Linked DNA regions of Schizosaccharomyces pombe. The gene in region 2 interacts genetically with the main gene of each other region. Each region holds a gene or a part of one and is shown on either strand. Other genes may lie near its edges.

The links. Genes that interact genetically often act in the same process or in processes that back each other up.
Region 1: of mst2 (region 2) and dcr1, changing one suppresses a phenotype caused by changing the other (phenotypic suppression), as found in Schizosaccharomyces pombe (5 studies listed by BioGRID, with this or other methods).
Region 3: of mst2 (region 2) and rdp1, a mutation in one rescues a mutant of the other (synthetic rescue), as found in Schizosaccharomyces pombe (2 studies listed by BioGRID, with this or other methods).

The regions. Positions count from the first base shown.
Region 1 is NC_003421.2:1,504,541-1,512,280, reverse strand, and holds dcr1 (dicer), read left to right. Parts: upstream 1-1,723; 5' UTR 1,724-1,990; coding exon 1,991-6,115; 3' UTR 6,116-6,135; coding exon of another isoform or gene 6,136-7,219; 3' UTR 7,220-7,281; downstream 7,282-7,740. Other genes in the region: ER to Golgi ceramide transport protein, lipocalin superfamily Svf1, read left to right, coding at 1-698; septin Spn6, read right to left, coding at 6,136-7,219, 7,282-7,340. UniProt on the Schizosaccharomyces pombe protein: Required for G1 arrest and mating in response to nitrogen starvation. Ago1 regulation of cytokinesis and cell cycle checkpoints occurs downstream of dcr1. Required, indirectly, for regulated hyperphosphorylation of cdc2.
Region 2 is NC_003424.3:2,362,964-2,368,801, forward strand, and holds mst2 (histone acetyltransferase Mst2), read right to left. Parts: upstream 3,972-5,838; 5' UTR 3,871-3,971; coding exon 3,418-3,870; exon of another isoform or gene 3,302-3,417; coding exon 3,212-3,301; exon of another isoform or gene 3,165-3,211; coding exon 2,484-3,164; 3' UTR 2,432-2,483; coding exon of another isoform or gene 605-2,431; 3' UTR 536-604; downstream 1-535. Other genes in the region: exocyst complex subunit Sec3, read left to right, coding at 605-2,431; protein kinase C (PKC)-like Pck1, read right to left, coding at 4,442-4,533, 4,579-4,762, 4,804-4,992, 5,037-5,238, 5,294-5,838. UniProt on the Schizosaccharomyces pombe protein: Component of the mst2 complex which is a highly specific H3 lysine 14 (H3K14) acetyltransferase that functions together with gcn5 to regulate global levels of H3K14 acetylation (H3K14ac), critical for DNA damage checkpoint activation.
Region 3 is NC_003424.3:1,323,155-1,329,578, reverse strand, and holds rdp1 (RNA-directed RNA polymerase (RDRC) Rdp1), read right to left. Parts: upstream 4,639-6,424; 5' UTR 4,574-4,638; exon of another isoform or gene 4,494-4,573; 5' UTR 4,327-4,493; coding exon 679-4,326; 3' UTR 518-678; downstream 1-517. Other genes in the region: phosphoribosylformylglycinamidine synthase Ade3, read left to right, coding at 1-317; exo8 (exocyst complex subunit Exo84), read left to right, coding at 5,243-5,280, 5,327-5,384, 5,439-5,580, 5,624-6,424.

The DNA of each region.
Region 1 (7,740 bases), on a different chromosome or scaffold from region 2:
TCGATATAACTGTCCATCAAGACGCTCCTCCTTTTAAAATCGGTGAAGATGGAAATTCTACTTATGGAACAGATCCTAGTAAGCCCTGGGCTTCCATGAAGCATACCTTTTGGCCTCGCACTCGTGTTGAAGGTAGCATCGTTGCAAGGGGTAGAGTTGTGGATGTCACTGGTCCCGGCATGTTTGTTCATGCACTCCAAAATGGCAAACCCCACCATCTTGCTTCATCTTGGGAGTTTGCCCTCTTGCAGCATAAAAAGTTTACCGCCATCATGATGCAGTTCAAGACACCCCCTAGCTATGGTTCTACTATTGTCAATATTGGTGGTATCGCTATGAAAGACAAAATTATTAGTGCAACTGTCGATAATACTATTGAGCACGTTGAGACCACACTCGATCCCGATACGGAATGGCATGAACCCACTCGCATTTCCTACGAATGGGACGGAAAGGATGCTGAAACATACACCGAAGATATTCATCTTTCAGTCGATGCTCCTTTGGGAAGACGTCTTCAACGCATCGACGTTCTTGCCGAGATACCATCTTGGCTTAAGGGTTTCGTCCATGGAGTCTCTGGAACGAAACCTTTCATCTACCAATATTTCTCACCTGTCAAATTTACACTGAAGATGGGTGACGAGGTTATTGAAGATGAAGCCACGCTTTTTAATGAGACTACTTTTATTTCATAAGCATCTTTTAACAAAAATATTCAAGCATAAATAATTCGATGCATTTTGGGCTTAAACAAAGAGTGAACGTGCATCCATCTTTTTTTCAGAGCTTTTCTATATTAAACTCTCTGGTTTTGTATTCTTTTTTTCCTTTTTTTTGTCCTGTTGTTTTTAATTTCGTGTCTTCGAATTTTTTTTTCATACTATTTTTCGTTTTATTAAAATAACTTCATATAGACTTATCACTTATACTCTGAACTTGATAGTTGTGCTGCTCTCATATTGAATATGATTCTTGTTAATGGTCTTGTGCTACAAGCTCTGAAATTCATTCGTTCTCTTGTTTGTGTACTAAATCGATCTTGTCATCCTAATACCTATACTGATGGACATGGGCAAGGCATCTGGCAAAATTGTGCATTCGCTTATGTTTATTGAAAGACTGCAGTCTGTGTAAACGAGCGAGAATGTTTTAAAATTTTTTAAAAATTTGAATACTTTTCATTTTAGAGACTTCAAATAATATTGTTTTCATCATTAAGTGGATACTAATTAGCAACTTCTCAACTTCTATTTTATTTAAAAAACTAATTCATTGTAAATGTTGTATTGGTTTTCTACGAAAGCAGTTTTTCTATTATTGATAATTTCGCTTTTACCACTTTATAATAAAAAAGTATTGTATGTTTAATGTTTTCTAATATTTTTTTAATAAGTTTTCCTATGTTCCGATAAGAGCAGGCAGTGAACGCGTAAACAGATATATATGTATGTATTTATTATTAAAATATTATGTAAATAATTCTTAAAAAACCGAATCATTCTAGCATAAAGCATTGGAAACCAGTAATTCAACGTAACTGAATTTCACGGATTTACAAGCAAGTCGTACAGTCCTTTCTTCATTCAATAATATTGATTTAATAATAATATGTATATGCAATTTTCCTTTTTTTTTTTTTTTTTTTTTTAAACATTTTAAAATAAAGCATAGGCGTTTAATCATTTTTTATTAAAGTGCGTAACTTATGTTGTAAAAAACTACCACCTACTTTTCTCTTAAAACACCAGAATCTATAAGTGTAATGATTCCCCTTAACAACGAATTTAGAAGCTATCAATAGTATTGCGTCTGTTTTTATCAATCTCACAAACAATTATAGGAAGTATTCTGCTCGTGTGATTGTTCTTTTTCTTCTGGTAAAGATGAACATATGCATGTTTATTTGAATAGCTTAGGATTCATTATTTTTTAAGAGACAAATTTCTCGTCAATTGAATGAAACCTTCCGCCTTTATTTTCTTTTTGAATGGATATTTCAAGTTTTCTACTTCCTCAACTTTTACGTAAATATCAACAAGATGTGTATAATATCGCGAGCAAGCAAAATACTTTACTTGTTATGAGAACGGGCGCTGGTAAGACATTACTTGCTGTGAAGTTGATAAAACAAAAGCTCGAGGAGCAAATTTTAATCCAAGAATCAAATCTTGAACATAAAAAAATATCAGTTTTTCTCGTCAACAAAGTCCCTTTGGTATTTCAACAAGCGGAATACATTCGATCTCAACTACCGGCTAAGGTTGGCATGTTTTATGGCGAATTATCTATAGAAATGAGCGAGCAGTTGTTGACTAATATTATATTGAAGTATAATGTGATTGTTATTACTGCAGATTTGTTCTATTTGTTTCTTGCAAGAGGTTTTCTTTCAATAAATGATTTGAATTTAATTATATTCGACGAATGTCATCATGCAATTGGAAATGATGCGTATGCTCGCATCATGAATGATTTTTATCACAGAGCCAAAGCAGTATTGTCAAAAAAACATTTCACCCTACCAAGAATTTTTGGTATGACTGCTTCACCATTCACTGGAAAAAAAGGAAACTTATACCATCGACTGTATCAATGGGAGCAATTATTTGATTCTAAAGCACACGTGGTTTCGGAAAACGAGCTAGCCGATTACTTCTGTCTTCCCGAAGAAAGCTATGTAATGTATTCCAATAAGTTGGTTGTGCCACCCTCGGATTCTATTATCAAGAAATGCGAGGAAACTCTTCAAGGATGCAAGTTAATTTCTCGGGCTGTTAAGACTGCTTTAGCAGAAACCATAGATATGGGTCTTTGGTTTGGGGAGCAAGTTTGGTTATATTTGGTTGATTTTGTGGAAACGAAAAGATTAAAAAAAAAGGCTTTAGGGAAGCAGTTGTCAGATGACGAGGAACTGGCAATTGACCGGTTAAAAATATTTGTTGAAGATTGGAAAAATAACAAATATTCAGACAATGGCCCTAGAATCCCTGTTTTTGATTCCACTGATGTTACTGATAAAGTCTTTAAACTCTTAGAATTGTTAAAGGCTACTTACCGCAAAAGTGATAGCGTTCGTACGGTTATTTTCGTTGAAAGAAAAGCTACGGCGTTTACTTTAAGTTTGTTTATGAAAACTCTTAATCTGCCTAACATCCGCGCTCATTCTTTTATAGGACATGGACCGTCCGATCAGGGTGAATTTTCTATGACATTCAGGAGGCAAAAAGATACCCTTCATAAGTTTAAGACTGGAAAATATAATGTTTTAATTGCTACTGCAGTTGCAGAAGAAGGTATCGATGTACCATCATGTAACTTAGTTATACGCTTCAATATTTGTCGGACTGTCACCCAGTATGTCCAATCTCGAGGTAGAGCGAGAGCAATGGCTTCAAAGTTTCTAATTTTTTTAAACACAGAAGAGTTGTTAATTCATGAACGCATTCTACACGAAGAAAAAAATCTTAAATTTGCCCTTTCAGAGCTCAGCAATTCGAATATTTTTGATTCATTGGTATGTGAGGAAAGAGAACGTGTGACTGATGATATCGTCTATGAAGTTGGCGAGACTGGTGCTTTACTCACAGGGTTGTATGCAGTTAGTCTGCTTTATAACTTTTGTAACACACTTTCAAGAGACGTATACACAAGATATTATCCCACTTTTACAGCTCAACCCTGTCTTTCAGGTTGGTATTGTTTTGAGGTAGAATTGCCAAAAGCCTGCAAAGTTCCAGCGGCTCAAGGATCTCCCGCTAAATCAATTAGGAAAGCCAAACAGAATGCTGCGTTCATCATGTGTTTGGATCTGATTCGTATGGGTCTTATAGACAAACATTTAAAACCCCTAGATTTTAGAAGAAAAATTGCCGACCTTGAAACTCTTGAGGAAGACGAGCTAAAAGATGAAGGTTATATCGAGACATATGAGCGCTATGTACCAAAAAGTTGGATGAAAGTTCCTGAAGATATTACACGTTGCTTCGTCTCTTTACTTTATACTGATGCTAATGAAGGAGACAATCATATATTCCATCCCTTAGTGTTTGTACAAGCTCATTCATTCCCCAAAATTGATAGCTTTATTCTTAATTCGACTGTTGGCCCCCGAGTTAAAATTGTTTTAGAAACGATTGAGGATAGTTTTAAGATCGATTCTCATCTGCTTGAGTTGTTAAAAAAATCAACTCGTTATCTACTTCAATTCGGTTTATCTACTTCTCTTGAGCAACAAATACCTACTCCTTACTGGCTTGCGCCTTTAAATTTGTCATGCACGGATTACCGGTTCTTAGAAAATCTGATAGATGTTGACACTATCCAAAATTTTTTTAAATTACCGGAACCTGTTCAAAATGTTACTGATTTGCAATCCGATACTGTATTATTAGTAAATCCACAGTCAATATATGAACAGTATGCTTTTGAGGGATTTGTCAATTCTGAATTTATGATTCCTGCTAAAAAGAAAGATAAGGCCCCTTCTGCCTTATGTAAGAAACTTCCTTTACGATTAAATTATTCACTTTGGGGCAATAGAGCTAAATCCATTCCCAAATCACAGCAAGTGCGCAGTTTTTATATCAATGACCTCTATATTCTCCCAGTCTCTAGACATTTGAAAAACAGCGCCTTGCTAATACCCTCCATACTGTACCATATTGAAAACTTATTGGTCGCCTCTTCTTTTATCGAACACTTTCGACTTGATTGTAAAATTGACACTGCTTGTCAGGCTTTAACATCTGCGGAATCACAATTGAATTTTGATTACGATCGTCTAGAGTTTTACGGAGACTGCTTTCTAAAATTGGGTGCTTCTATTACAGTTTTTTTGAAATTTCCTGATACTCAAGAGTACCAACTGCATTTTAATCGAAAGAAAATTATTAGCAACTGTAATTTGTATAAAGTAGCAATAGATTGTGAGTTGCCGAAGTATGCTCTCTCGACTCCCTTGGAAATCCGTCATTGGTGTCCATATGGTTTTCAGAAAAGCACATCGGATAAGTGCCGCTACGCCGTTTTACAGAAATTATCGGTTAAGAGGATAGCAGATATGGTCGAAGCTAGTATCGGTGCATGTCTTTTAGACAGTGGACTTGACTCAGCACTCAAGATCTGTAAATCTTTAAGCGTTGGTCTGCTGGATATCAGCAATTGGGATGAGTGGAACAATTATTTTGATTTAAATACATATGCGGATTCACTGAGAAATGTTCAATTCCCTTACTCCTCGTATATAGAGGAAACTATTGGATATTCATTTAAAAACAAGAAACTACTCCATTTGGCATTTATTCATCCTTCCATGATGTCTCAGCAAGGTATTTACGAAAACTATCAACAGTTGGAGTTTTTGGGTGATGCTGTATTGGATTACATTATCGTACAATACCTTTATAAAAAGTATCCTAACGCAACTTCTGGCGAATTAACTGATTACAAATCTTTTTATGTGTGTAACAAGAGTCTATCATACATTGGCTTTGTTTTGAATTTGCACAAATATATCCAACATGAAAGCGCAGCAATGTGTGATGCAATATTTGAATATCAAGAATTAATTGAAGCGTTCAGGGAGACTGCTTCAGAGAATCCGTGGTTCTGGTTTGAAATTGATTCACCAAAGTTCATTTCAGATACTTTAGAAGCTATGATATGTGCCATTTTTTTGGATTCTGGGTTTAGTTTACAATCTCTACAATTCGTTTTACCTCTTTTTCTTAATTCGTTAGGGGATGCGACACATACTAAGGCTAAAGGAGATATTGAACACAAGGTATACCAATTACTGAAAGATCAGGGATGTGAAGACTTCGGAACAAAGTGTGTCATCGAGGAGGTGAAATCCAGTCACAAAACATTGTTAAATACTGAACTCCATTTAACAAAGTATTATGGGTTTTCATTCTTCCGCCACGGGAATATTGTTGCTTACGGCAAATCCCGTAAAGTTGCCAATGCAAAGTATATTATGAAACAAAGACTTCTCAAATTGTTAGAGGATAAGTCTAACTTACTTTTGTATTCTTGTAATTGCAAATTTAGTAAGAAAAAGCCATCAGATGAGCAAATAAAAGGAGATGGAAAAGTTAAAAGTTTGACTTGAGACTTGAAATATACAGTATTTCATTTTTTATGACCGCGGCCCTTGTAACTTTTCAAACTTTCAATTTGGGTCTCCAAAGCACGGATCCTTTCGTGATATTCAGAAAGTTCCGAATTCAAAGCATCTCGAGTTTCAATCATTTTCTCTTCTTTGGCCTGAAAGAAGCTTTCAGTTTCATTAGTCATTTGTGTTATCTTTTGTTGAATCGCACGTTTCTCATTGTTCAAGCGTTCGTAATGCTCTTTTTTCAGCTTAGGAATGCCACTCTTTCGATTCGTAAGCTGCTCTCTACGATATCGTTCATAGATGTTGGTTTCAGTTGTATTTATAAGCTCGAGCATATGCCTATTAATTAGCAATTTCTTCAATTTTAAAAAATCACAATGTGTTTCTTCATATATTTCAGAGGTTCCCCATGGGTAACGACGCCCTTGCGATTTTTCCCCATCGTCTTTGCAAACTTCATTTACACTGGAAATGATAGCGTAAGGTAAGGATGAATCTAGTAATTCGGCAGTTTCGTAATCAGAATACTCTGTTGATGGATGGAAAACGTCGATTGATTGAGCTTCCAGGATCCTTCTAATTTTTTGCTTTATTTGTGTTAATTCGGGAGTTGTAAATGTATCTGCCTTTGCTATTACTGGCACAAGGTTTACATGGGTCGATAGCTCCTTCATAGCTAACACATCTAAAGGAAGCATTCCAAACGAAACTGGCGTAATAAAGTAGAGACAAACGTGGACTCTAGTGTCTTTCCTTGGTACACGGAGAGAGTTTTGATCATGAATTAGATACCTTTCGTGTTGTTCGTCTAAATATTCTGCAACCGTATTCCAGCAACTGGTATTGTCAATGAAATCACCGAACCCTGGGGTGTCGAGCACCGTAAGATTGATATGAAAACCATCTTCTTCAATTACGGCCTTATTCTTTTTAACTTCTAAGGTCTTTTTGGCTATGGTCTCCTTAGCCGTTTCATATGATTTTTCTGGTTGCAAAGAAGTAGCAAAAAGAGTATTGAAGAACGTTGTTTTTCCAGTACCTGAGGCTCCGCAAAGCATGATTGTTAAACCACATTCTTTTCTTTTTATTAAATTTTCTCTGTGGTATATTTGTTAATGAATGATTTATGAATTTATGACTAGATTGTAACGATAACATACCTTTTGGATGGTAGACTATCCAAATTTAATAATAATTGAAGGTTTTCAGTCAAAGACATCGTAAAAATTTATTTCTCGAACTATCTGTATTTTGCTCTTTAGTAGGTTCAGGTTTGTTTCAAACAGCGTTTATCAGCGAAATATAAACAAACAACCGAATGTCCAGTGATAAAAAGCACAGATAAATAAATAAATATGCCTCATCAAAAATTTTTAAATATACAAATTAAATTATCTACATAGAAGACTTTTAATTCTTTTTCACATCTTGTACCAAAATACTTTCATAATCCTGGTTTACCAGAGTTGAAACAAGAATACAAATAAAAACGATGCTCAAATTTACTAGCTCTTTAATCATTAGAAGAATAAACATTAATTTTTAAGACTAAATATGAACTTCTGTTGAATTAACTGCCTTGATCCAAAAAAAACACAAAACGTAAATTGTACTTTTTT
Region 2 (5,838 bases):
TATAGCTAACCATTTTAAACGTTGCTGGTTATGCAATTAGAATTACACTATGGCTATCAATGTGTTTCCTGTTTCAATAATTTGGATTTTTTAAGCTCGTCGAATAAACAAAGCTGCCATAAAGTACAGCGAAGTCATCAACAAAAAAGTTATGGATTATTGTACTTTTCATGCACAGCAAAAATATTTAAAGATGTTTAAATATATATAAATATTATGAACGTAGACAATGCTTGCAAGTTTAAATAAACTTTAAAAAATCGACTTCTATAGCATTTGCCTACATATGTCACTTGTTTACGTTTTGACATTTCTCCTTATTAACCCACCATTCCACCACAATTGTAAAAATTATTATCAAATTTATATATTTCTTTACCGCTAGAATTCAATTTTACAAGAAAATTTTATCCCTTGCTTATAAAGACTCTGTGAATTAAAAAAAAGTCTCGTTTCCTTAGAAAATTTGTTTTTCCGTTGAATAAGGCGCTTTCAGTATTACTTGCCATTGGAAAGTGGTAGAATGTTTAATTAATGGTTTTTTTTTTGTTAATATTTATCTATTTAACCCAATTTTTTTCATTTAATACACCACTTCAGACGAATGGCTTCTAACCCTAATGCCGTTGAACAAGAAATTCTACAAGCTGTCAATTCGGCTCAAACTACCGATAAACGGAAAGCTCATGAGCAATCATTAGCATATCTTCCGGTGGAGGAAGAAAGAGGAGTTAATGTTGTTGGCTCAAAGATGAAACCCCGCTACATTGCTTTGACTTGTGATGATGTGACTCGTATTTTTTATATACACAGATTGAAAGTAAATGATAAAGGCGGAATGACAGTCGTGAAATCCTGGCCTTTATTTGAGTTGCAGAATATTACTGTAATTAATGATCATGATGTTACTATGACAATAAACAAGCCACATTTGTTGCGAACTCAGGACACTTCTGCTCGCGATCGATTTGTTTTTTCTGTTGCTAAAAATTATATGTACTATATGGGCAGGCCGCTTTCAGTGACTACGACTGATGGCCGCAAAGTGGACTGGGCCTATCGTAATTCCTTTGCTGATAACAAACCTAATCTCTATCCTGCAAAGAGCCTAGCTATTCCTAAAGCAAGGTCATCATTACCTGAAAATTCTTCAGAACAAGTTTCCTCATCTTTTAACTCTCGAGTCGCACATAACCGTAATTTTTCGGACGGCCCAATTGTTACCAATTTAGAAACGGATCAGCCTCGCATCGAGAAGAAGCTCACTATTGATTCTTCTCGATCAGCCAAAAAGAAGTTGAGTGTTGAAAAAGAAAGACGGTTTTCTGACAATAAGCCTTCTTCCAACGTTTCCCGGGGGACCCCATCATCTGCCCATAGTGATGTTATAGAAATTTCAAGTTCTTCTGCCATTGCAAGGACTTCAGGAGACCGAAAAGATGATGTCTTATTCGATACTTCAACTCAAAGACGAGATAATCAAACACGGGAAATGTTTATTCAAGAACAAGCTCAATTGTTTCCATCTAAACCTTCTTTACGTAAAACTACTCGTCGTGAACAAGCACCCTCATTTAACAGTGGAACGAGTTCTTCGGAAAGGGGTAAGAATAGCATCAGTGGTTCTTACGAGAAAAATACAGCTTTGGCACTAGAAGCTGGTAAGTATAATATGTCTCAAAAAGACGTGAAACTAAGCTCTTCTTTGGAGTCAAACACATTTGCTAGCGATTTTAGTAAAGTGGATCGTGATGCTACCCAGGCAGCTTTATCTTCTAGCTTAGAAACTCCTTCAGTATTAACGTCATCTTACAAGCCTTCCAGTTCGTCTAAAGTATCAGCAAAGTCTGTTTCTCGAAAACCAACAGGAGCACCGGCTATTCCTAAATTACCTCCAAAGCACCCGTCCCGTCAGCCAACTGTTCGGGCAACTCCTTCGACTGGTAAACAAATCGAACCACCAAACGACGAGCCTTCTATAGGAAATGAACTTCTTCCCCTTTTTGAAAGTTTGCGCTTTGAAAATAGAAAAACCACTTCCAAGCCAAAAGCCAAGAAAACTCTTGTTACTTCCATTCCGACTAAACCGCACCAAGCTTCTGTTGAAAAAGTTTACGATCTTAACTCAAAAATCAACCTCAAAAACATTCCGGAGCAAAGCATTTCTCGTCTTTCCACTTTGAAGTGGAATGAAGGTACAACTATAAAAGATGTATTGAAACAAACAGAATTTTCGTTTGATGGAGCTATCATAAGCAGTGTGGAAAACCTTGCTGAAGAAGAAATCGAATTGCAAAACATTAAGAGCCAACTTCAAGATTGTGCTTTAGGTTGTGAGTCTATCAATTCAACCATCAACTTATTTTCCCTAGAGTTGTCTACTGCATTAAATGGCGTCATTAATATAGAGCAACAACCAAGCCGTAGATGATACAAATGCTTCACGACAAATATCGAAAGATTAAAATACTTATTTATTTGAACTAAACGGAATCCAGATGATGAGAGTTATCTAATAGACGCTTTTGAGGTAGAGGAATAAGTATATTTTCTTTAAGTAAAAGGTTAGATATCTGCTCTTCTCCGAGATATGGCGTCCATCTTAGAAGTTTTGGATTTACTCTTTGAGGGTGTTTGATATTCCAAGCTTTATAAACATTCTCAAGTTCATCCCGTTTCAGTTGTAATACATATTTCTTTTTGAGCGGATCATACTTAAATACAGATAACGATTCCAATGTGGATATAACATCGTCGCATACCATAGATGTTGATTTGGCGATAGCATTTATGCTAATCGGTGTTGTGATTTCCAATAGAGCTTTGGCTACTCTCATTTTCCAATAGCTTCGGTACGTAACGAGGCCTAAATCTGAAAGTGGCTTTTCAGGTGATCCAAGCTTACCTTCTACCTGTGTAAGTAAATAACTAAAATCAATCAAAAAGACACCATATCCTCGGCGTTGGTAAATGGGTAATGTTAATATACAGGAAACGTTATAATCAGAAGCCGAGCGTTTCTCTTTACTGAAATATCCAATAACTTTGCATTCTTGGCCATCAAATTCAGTCAATACATAGAAAAGAAACGGTTCAACGTCATAGTACAGCATTTTTGAATGAAGAAACATCTTTGCTAGAAGACATAAATTTTGACAATATATCTAAGGAAAAACATCAATAAGTATAAAATGCATAAAAAATTACTTACCGGTTGCCGTTGACCATCAACTTCAAAAATTGATATATTCTTATCCCGATATATTTCATCTCCTGGTGGATAACTCCATGAGCATTTCATCTGATTATGTTAGTCCGTAAATTCAATTTGGATAGATTATGATCTTTTAATGTACACCTCGTTTAAACTCAAGCAATAGCGAATAACATTATGATCTTACTTGAAAAGTTGTTTACCTTGTGCCTTTGTAGTACATGATCACTGTTCATATACTTTAAACAAGATTCGCATATATATAAATTTTTTGCACAGCTATACTCCTCTGGATACGGTGATGTATACCATGGTTTTATCCGGTAAGTACCAAAATAGAGGTATCGAATGGAGGTTGGTTGTGGTGGAGGCGTTCGCAACTGTGTAGATAAAATAGGATCGGAAAATGAATAAGCCACATCCTTTGTCCTATCTGCTACTGTCTTTGCTTTTTCAAACAGCCTCACATCGTCTTGGTTGAGTCTCGTAATCGATGTGTCAGCTTGCCCTTTAGTTAATAGACCCAAAAAAGTACTTTCCGAATTTAACTCTAATAAATGTTTCTTATAAAATGGATATCTGGAGGAGTTTGTATCAAACTTTATTATTAACAAAGTCTTTGAACTGGCTGTGGATTTCAAAATAGTCGCCGGCATTATACATAAAAAAAAAAGATTGTTTATATTTACAGATCGTTCATAGTTTTCCTAATGGCCCCATTTAATCCTTTGGTCAATATAATTGAGTTGGTGGTAGTGCCCTCATTCTCTTCTTAGTTCTTGCTTTACTTCCACCTCCATCCGATCTCTGCAAAGATAACCCTTTCACTCTTGTTAAATAAAAAACTACTCATATTTTTTACTTTTGTATTCTGAAACAGTAACCATTCATAACTTCACTGTTAGCTTTTTGATTGAATGCCATTACAAACGTTGCGTATAAATACTACAAAGTCACCTTGGGTGATTCAACGATAAGTTTTACATTAGTAGTTTTAATGCCACTTTAATTATTCTCTAATTTCGACTTTATTTTCAAGTAATGTAATGATGATAAATGCAGAAATTTTTTAAATATGAACACGTAGAAAAGTAAAAAAAATATCATGTAAAGGGTGAGTACACTAAATTAAGTGTAAGAATGCAAAGGAAGCAGCATCAGAACTATATGAAATTGTTACCATAATTTTCTAATTTTAAAAAAGCAGAAGCAAAGGACAAGCTAATTCTATTCAGTAGCAAAACTGGAAAATCCTCTGAAACACTCTTGTTGTTGTCGTGTGAGAACAGTATTGACAGGTGTCAAAGTTGGACATGCACCTAATCGATCGTTAGTAATTAACCATATTTTAACAATTGTCATACTTGTAAATTCTTCATCAAAATTATTGAGGTCTCGGGGATCGTTGATAAGCGGTTTATATGATGGTTCATAAAGTTTGTTATACAAGTCATCCCAGACAATACTAGCAAAGAAAGGATGAGCCATAACCTCGTTTGCGTCTTTTGGTCCACTACCAAGTCGTTGATTTGGATCTCTTGTTAAAAGCTATTTTTTGAATTAGTTAACATATTTAGAAATTTGCATACCCCTCTCAATAACGAAACCGCATCCGCTGGCATATTAATCGGAAACAACGGTTCATCGCTTAAAATCGCATCGAATATTTCCTCTTCATCTTCACCTTTGAAAGGGGATTGACCCAGTAACATTTGATACATCAAAACGCCAAAAGCCCACCAATCAACATCCTTGGAATATTGCTGTTCTAATAAAATCTATTTTCGTTAGATAAAATAAACCAAAACAAGTTCCGCCTTACTTCTGGAGCCATGAATTCGGGGGTACCACAAAAGGTGGAAGTTGTATTGCCAAGCAACATATTTTCTTTGCAGAGTCCATAATCAGCAATTCGTATATGACCATCAGGACAAAGTAGAATATTATCCAATTTCAAATCACGGTAAGCAATTCCATTCTCATGAAAATACTTCAATGCTAAACAAACCTCAGCACCATAAAATCTATGGGGTTAATAAAAAATAAAAATAAAAATAAAAATAAAGATTGAAGTACTACCTTGCACGTTTCACGCTAAACTGTTGACGTTGAATATGAACCATAAGGTCACCACCAAGAATATATTCCATAACGAAGTAAACCCTGGTACTAGTTTGAAAGCTTGCAAAAAGATTCAGCAAGAACGGATGTTTTTCTTTATTCGCGACTTCGAAAACATGCTTTTCAGTTTTTAAACTCTCTAGTTCCTCATTCTTTAAAATGGCTTCTTTTTTCAGAACTTTGATGGCATAAAACTTTTTATTCACTTTATATTCAGCCAACATAACCTTGCCAAAATTGCCTTTCCCTAATACAGCCAAAAATGTGAAGTCGTCAAGCGTAACACGATTCTTTTTCTCTCTGCGTGGACTTTCTGGAACACTTCTATTAGCATCCTTGGAAGACGATAAGCTAGCACTGGAAGGTGGAGCAAGAACAGAAGCTGGAGTAGGAGTAGAAGAGGAAGGAGTAACATTTAAAGATCGATCTTTCTCAGGGGTTTTTGGAAGTGGAGACGTATTAAGTACACTTGTAACTGGCTGAGTAGCAGCAAGTAAGCCCTG
Region 3 (6,424 bases), 1.0 Mb from region 2:
CCCATGGAGAAGGTAGAGCTGTTTTCGATTCAGAGTCCGATTACGAACAATTTAAGAAGGAAGGTTTGGATTTGATATACTACGTTAACAACTACAACGAGCGTACTAGCCGTTATCCATTCAACCCTAATGGAAGCAGAGATGCTATAGCTGGTGTTCGCTCCCCTTGTGGTCGCTTTTTAGCTATGATGCCTCACCCTGAACGTGTAGTTTTGAAAGTTGCAAACAGTTATTACCCTCATTCGAAAGCTAGCGAGTGGGGCGTTCATGGTCCTTGGATCCGTCTTTTCCAATCTGCTAGAAAATGGGTTGGTTAAAGCATTTATCTTGCCCGGAGAAGCTGAATTGGAGTTCACATGCCGTAGTTTCTTTACAGTTTTGGTTTGTTTCGTGTTACAAAATTTTATAATTATTCTACTTAAATTAATGGTGAAAATTAGATTAAGCTTGGCAGATATAAAAATCGTTAATTATACATTATTACGATTAAATTGCTTTAACCATCGAGTATATGTGTAAAAATTATGACAACTCTTTTCCTTCAGCAGAAACATACAACAGTCTTGTTAAATGTTAACTCTAGCTACCTGTTTTGCTGTTCTATGTTCCATTGTCGATAATGAGTACAATTACTATTAGCCTTTTACGAGCAATTAAAGCTTCGAATGTATATTCGATTTAAAAATTATTAGCAGTAAGCATGGCTTTTCGTGAAAGCTGACAAAGACGACTAGAAAATAAATATGGAAATGAAATCAATACCTCAGTAGTGCCATTGCCAACAGATTTGACACGTTGATCGTATGTCACATCGTAAGTGGCAGCAACCGCACTGTTTATCCGTTCTTCATATTCCGAAGAATCAAATGCCGATTGATTTGATAAAGCGCATTTCTCTAAGTACTCTTGAGTGTATTTTTTCTTTAGAAGGTCGAACTGAAAGCTAACTTCCTCCCTAAGACCATATTCATTTACGGTTTTAGCTAAATCATCTTTAAAAAGGATAAAAGCTGTGTAAACTTCATATTCTGTGGAAATATCAAAACGAGCCATAATTGATCTCAGGTCATTATCATAGTGTTTCTTCACTTCTTCAGCTACATTCAGATATTCAGTTTTAAACCTTGGAAGTTTCATACAAGGATCATAAACAGTATTCATTATCGGATTATAAGTTGCAGGTCTGCCACTTTCTCTTTGGAATCGTGCAGCGTATCTGAAAATTTTGCCAACCGCGGTTTCGGAACGAAAAGAACGAGTTTTTGTTTTTTGCATGAAGTCAGGATATCGTTTGGGATGGTATTTGGCTTGCATTTTACAAGCTACTCCCGATTTAGCAAAATCTACAGCTTTTGAATGCATTTCTGCAAGTTCTAAACACACATTTCCAAATATCCCTTCCGGATTATTATCATGGTCATGGGCCCATGCCTTCCAAGCATTTGAAATTAGACCTAGCGAATCATATTTTATATAATTCACAAAAAATTCTTTTACCGAATCGATAAGTGGCTTTCCTTCCAAAAAATCTATAGACTTCTTGGGAGATGATTCAAGCAATGGGGGATAATTAACAATTTTAGGAAGAAGACGTTGATCCCATATAACTGTGTACTCATCCCCATCCAGATCACCACCAGAGCACATAGCAGGAATGCTTCGATCACCCGTTGTCGGAAACACTATCACATTTTTTAAATGCATAAGCTCATCGCATCTGACAGCTTTACAGACACGTACGTCACCTGGATGAAGCGAGGGATTCCTTGCAACAATACACAATCCAACTATAACCCTTGTTTTCAGCTTTCCAGTTGAATATGAACCAAAACTGGTAGAAGTGTCGGTAATTTGGATGAAAATTTCAGGTACTGACAAAACAGCATCATCATAATGACCCTTTAGTGTTCCAGTTTCATCAGCTACACCAAGTAAATAGGCACCCTTTGGAACACTAACTTTTTGTTTTTCCTTAATTAACCTAAGAACCCATTCATAATATAGATTTAATAAATTCTCGGTGAAAGCATCATCTCTTTCAAGGAAACCGGCCTGGATAAAATCAGCAATAATTAAAGTAGAGTGATATTCATCTACGTTGTCCCGTAACATTAAAATGGATTTTTGTTTGCTGTTTATCGATTCGTTCATTTTTGACAACTGACTTCTAGTCAATTCCAAAAATACGGTTTTTTCAACCCCGAGTCCTTCCAATAAGGTGATCAGTTGCATATTCAGATGGGCATTTGAAAATCGAGATATTTTAATAACTTCCAAGGTACTATGGAATGATTTAAATTTATCTTGACTACGGCGTGGAAACACAAGATTTCCTTGATGGTATTCAAGCTTAGTCGGAGGAGCTAAAGATAAAACGCCTTTATAACCACCCATACGAAATTGAAACGCAGAGGGAAACATATCATGATTTTTTACTTCCAAAGAAAGTCTTCGAATTACAGATAATGATGCCATTCCAACCCCATCAGTAAAGCAGTGGTTGTTACGAACAATATCATCCTGAAGGGATATGTCAACACAAAATCGATTAATTTCCTTTGTCGTTGAAAAGCATTGTCCCATCCTTGCTGCATACTTAGATACTGAATTGATTTCACTAAAGTCACCCATCCATTCCCTGATCTGTTTGGCATTTAGATCAGATCCCGAAGCAAAAAAGTAAGCACCATGCTCTCTTAATTGAGAATTTCCAAAAGCTAAAAATTCGTAAATTTGATTACCAACTTTAATTCCGTAGGTTAATAATTGTTGGATGCGAGAATACAATTTTTCATTTCTAAACCCATCAGAACCGCCTCGAATTTTTTGCTTATAGTATTCATCAGTTATTTGCACACGCATAAAACGGTTTGCAAAGTCCTTAAAATTTCTTATAACACGATTTCCTGCTTCTAATGAGTCTTCAACTATTCGAAGAGTAGTAGGTGTAACGTACAATTTTTTAATGTGAATAGAAGAAGCGGAAGATAAATCGTAAAAGACAAAAGACTTAGTAAAATCTAGCTCAGAAGGATTTATTAAAGCGGTTTTGGACGTTAGAATTAGTCTTAGGAATTTTTTTGCTCTCTCTTTCGATAATTTCTTTAAATTCGCCAATATAATGGGCAAATCAATTTCTGATAATAAGTTTTTAGAAAGGCAAGCCTGCAAAAGATAAGCAATCTCTTCCTCAATTTCTTTATCATTTATTAGACTACAGCGATGTTTGTAGTCTGGGACAAGATGGAAAACCACTTTATCAAGTTGACTTTTCAAATTGAATTTTTCCAAGTTGTGTAAAAGAAAGGCAATGTCATCTTTATCAGACTCATCCCTTATGGAAAAGCTAAGGACTAAAACATTGCAGCGTCCAATGGGGGCGTTATGGCAATTAAGTAGCTCTATAGGACTAGCAGTCGTTGGTGAAACATTGAAAGGTAGAATATCATAATGTCGTCTCCAAAGATGAGATGCAGTCCAGAAAGTTTGAACTCTGGATTCAGTTGCATTTTTAGATTTTCTGAAAATTAGTGGAGAAAATCTAAATCTAAATACGAGGGAAATATGATCATCGTAATAATCCGTCCCTACATCGCCTATTATGGAATGAAAATCGAAGTCCAGACGAAAGGTTTCGATCTGTTTGTCAAAAGAAGCATCAAAGAGAACACAGAGCTTTTTGAAATTAAAATATACAAGTAAGTTTGATTCAGTTACAGTTATTCCACAATCAACACCAAACAGTGGGACAATTCTTTCATCATAAACTTGCCCGAGCTTAAAGGAGGATAACGGGATTTTTACTAGCTGATCGCTTCTAAAACTATTCTTAGAGAAAACTTGTCGGCTGATGTGGGAACGATGTGCTGTTATGTCAATTTGAACAGCTAGATCAACACCTTTGACATTTATTTTCCCATTTGGTTCCCAGAATGGAACTTTGGGAGGAGGAGCAAATTGGACTATTGCAGTAGTACTTGTCTGTCCATTCAAAGGTTCATTAATCTTCATGAATTCTATTGTACCGTAATCATGAAGGGGTTCCCACAAGTTGTATAGTTTTCCTCCCTCATTTGAAAGCCAAGTAACTGGAATATCTTTTATGACAAGTGTAATCATATCCCCCAATCTCCAAGTACTACTTCTTTGGATTAGACAATTATCATTTCGTTTATTAGCCGAGTGCAACTGAGCTTCATTATTGTGAACGGAAGCCCATTTCTTTTGCTTTTTGTTTCTATATGGGACTCTAAGTCTTTCCCAGGGTGACTCACGAGAATAACGTTTTAATTTAACACTTATAAAGTCATTTAACGAAACTGCCATTGCTTTACATTGCCATACAAAATCTGGATTTAATTATAACCCTGACAACAAATCAATTTGGAACCTTTTGTAAAAATAAAACACTAAATCTCATAGCGCCTTTATGCAGTATCAGCAGCCTCGCTCTGCGAAGTGGTCTTTTATCATAGAAGATTCCTTTCAGCTGGCTATAAATTCGTTAGATACGAAAAACCTTCGATTTATATAAAAAAGATTATAATGTTCCTATTTATCCACTTATACATACATGTATATGTGTGCCTTTTTAATTTAATTGACCGTTATAGTATCAATATCTATGAATTGCTCTTGAAGGAAGTTTGTAGCACGGTGGAATAAAGTTAAGTGAAGGCTCCTTTACGTATAGGGAAGTAGAATCAAAATACTAAGAATACATATTCATCCTATATGAACCGGCAAGTTGAATTTCAGTTTTCAATCCAAAGCAGATATTGAGGTAGTTTTTTCACCAAGGAATAAAAAATTGTTAGGAAACTTCCATCAGTTAAACGACTGATATCATGCACCTTAATTCATGTTCAATATCGTGTTATAATATCTAGCTGATATTTACTATAAATTTATTTTTTAAGCATGGTATATAATTTGAGCTACGTAGCTTTACTCGTTTCAAAATTAAGTGCAGCCCTGATATTCCAAACCCCTCGTCAGCGCTTGATTTTACAAACACGTCCAACTACTTCGGCAAAGCAAACAACTTAATAGATTTTTAAAAATAGAGCAATTGCTCAAGGATAAATTAATTTATTATTCCTATTTGTAAATACCACAAATAGGTTCTTCATTCCCTTATTTTAATTGGTAAATTGTTAAACTTATTTCAAATGTGAAGCATTCAATTTAACATCCTTTAGATACATAATATTTATTCTTCTATCAGAAACTTGAAAAAAAAATGCCTGACAATCCATCTTCTTTTGAAGATGAATTCATGTACGCAGCTAGAGAATATCGGGTGTTTGAGCTAATTTTTTGTTAGGAAATCTAATCATTTAAGTGTTGCTTCGGAGTCCATACCAAATGAAAGCCAAAGACAGGTATGTACTGAAGTTAAATAAAAACAACCTATTACTAAAACTGCTTTTTAAAAGTCACCGACGCGATTACGAGTCGGTACCTCTAAAACAGATGATATTTATCGACAAAAACGGCAAACAAAACATATCATTTCACAAAATGAAGTTTTTTTACAGCCTAAATTTTTCGATAATCAAAATTTTGATGCTCAAAGCTGTATGTGTAATTATGTCTATTGGAAACTAATTTTGCAAAAAAGATTTAAACGATGTTTTACAGGACCTTAGTGAAGATGAATTTGTGTCTTTATACAATAAGCTTCTACGCATTCACATGGGCGTCCGTAAAAATTTGGAAAAGAATTTTTACAAAAATTTGAATGAATATGTATTTATATCAGGGGAGGTTGAGAGCATGACTTCAGATTTTAAAAAGTTTCAGTCTCTGTTGAAAACCCTGGAGACTGACATTGAAGGATTAAACTTGGTCGACCATACGCATGACCCTTCCGACGAATCAATAAAACAAACGGTACAGAGACTACGATCATCCATTGAAGGGCTAGATGAAGCATTCTGGGAAGCGCCTCAAAGACAGCTTATATGTGAGCAATACAATTGGATGTTAATCAATATTGACAATCAGAGACCTAAGCTTCTTGTCAATATGCTTCTGTTTAATGATAGACTGTTGGTTACTACTTCTCACATGAAAGAAGTTGATTTCCCTGCTAAGCAGCAGGTTTTGTATAATTGGAATTTAACCGAAATTTCTATTTCTTCAATTGAAACTTATGGACCAGCAGGTGCTGAAATGCTGCAGAAGGAGAAAGAGGTCTCTCTATACAAACTGTCAATTAACCATAACAATAAGACCACATTGTTGGCAGTACACAATAGTGAAGAAAGGGATTATATGGTTCGTCAGGCTCGCCATCACCAGCTTCAAGAACTAGAAAATTGGTCTAGAAAGCATGATGAAGATCTCGAATTTAGTCGTGAACTAGAATATCATACTAAATCGGAACAAGCCGATATGTGTTCGTATACATCCTTTCAAG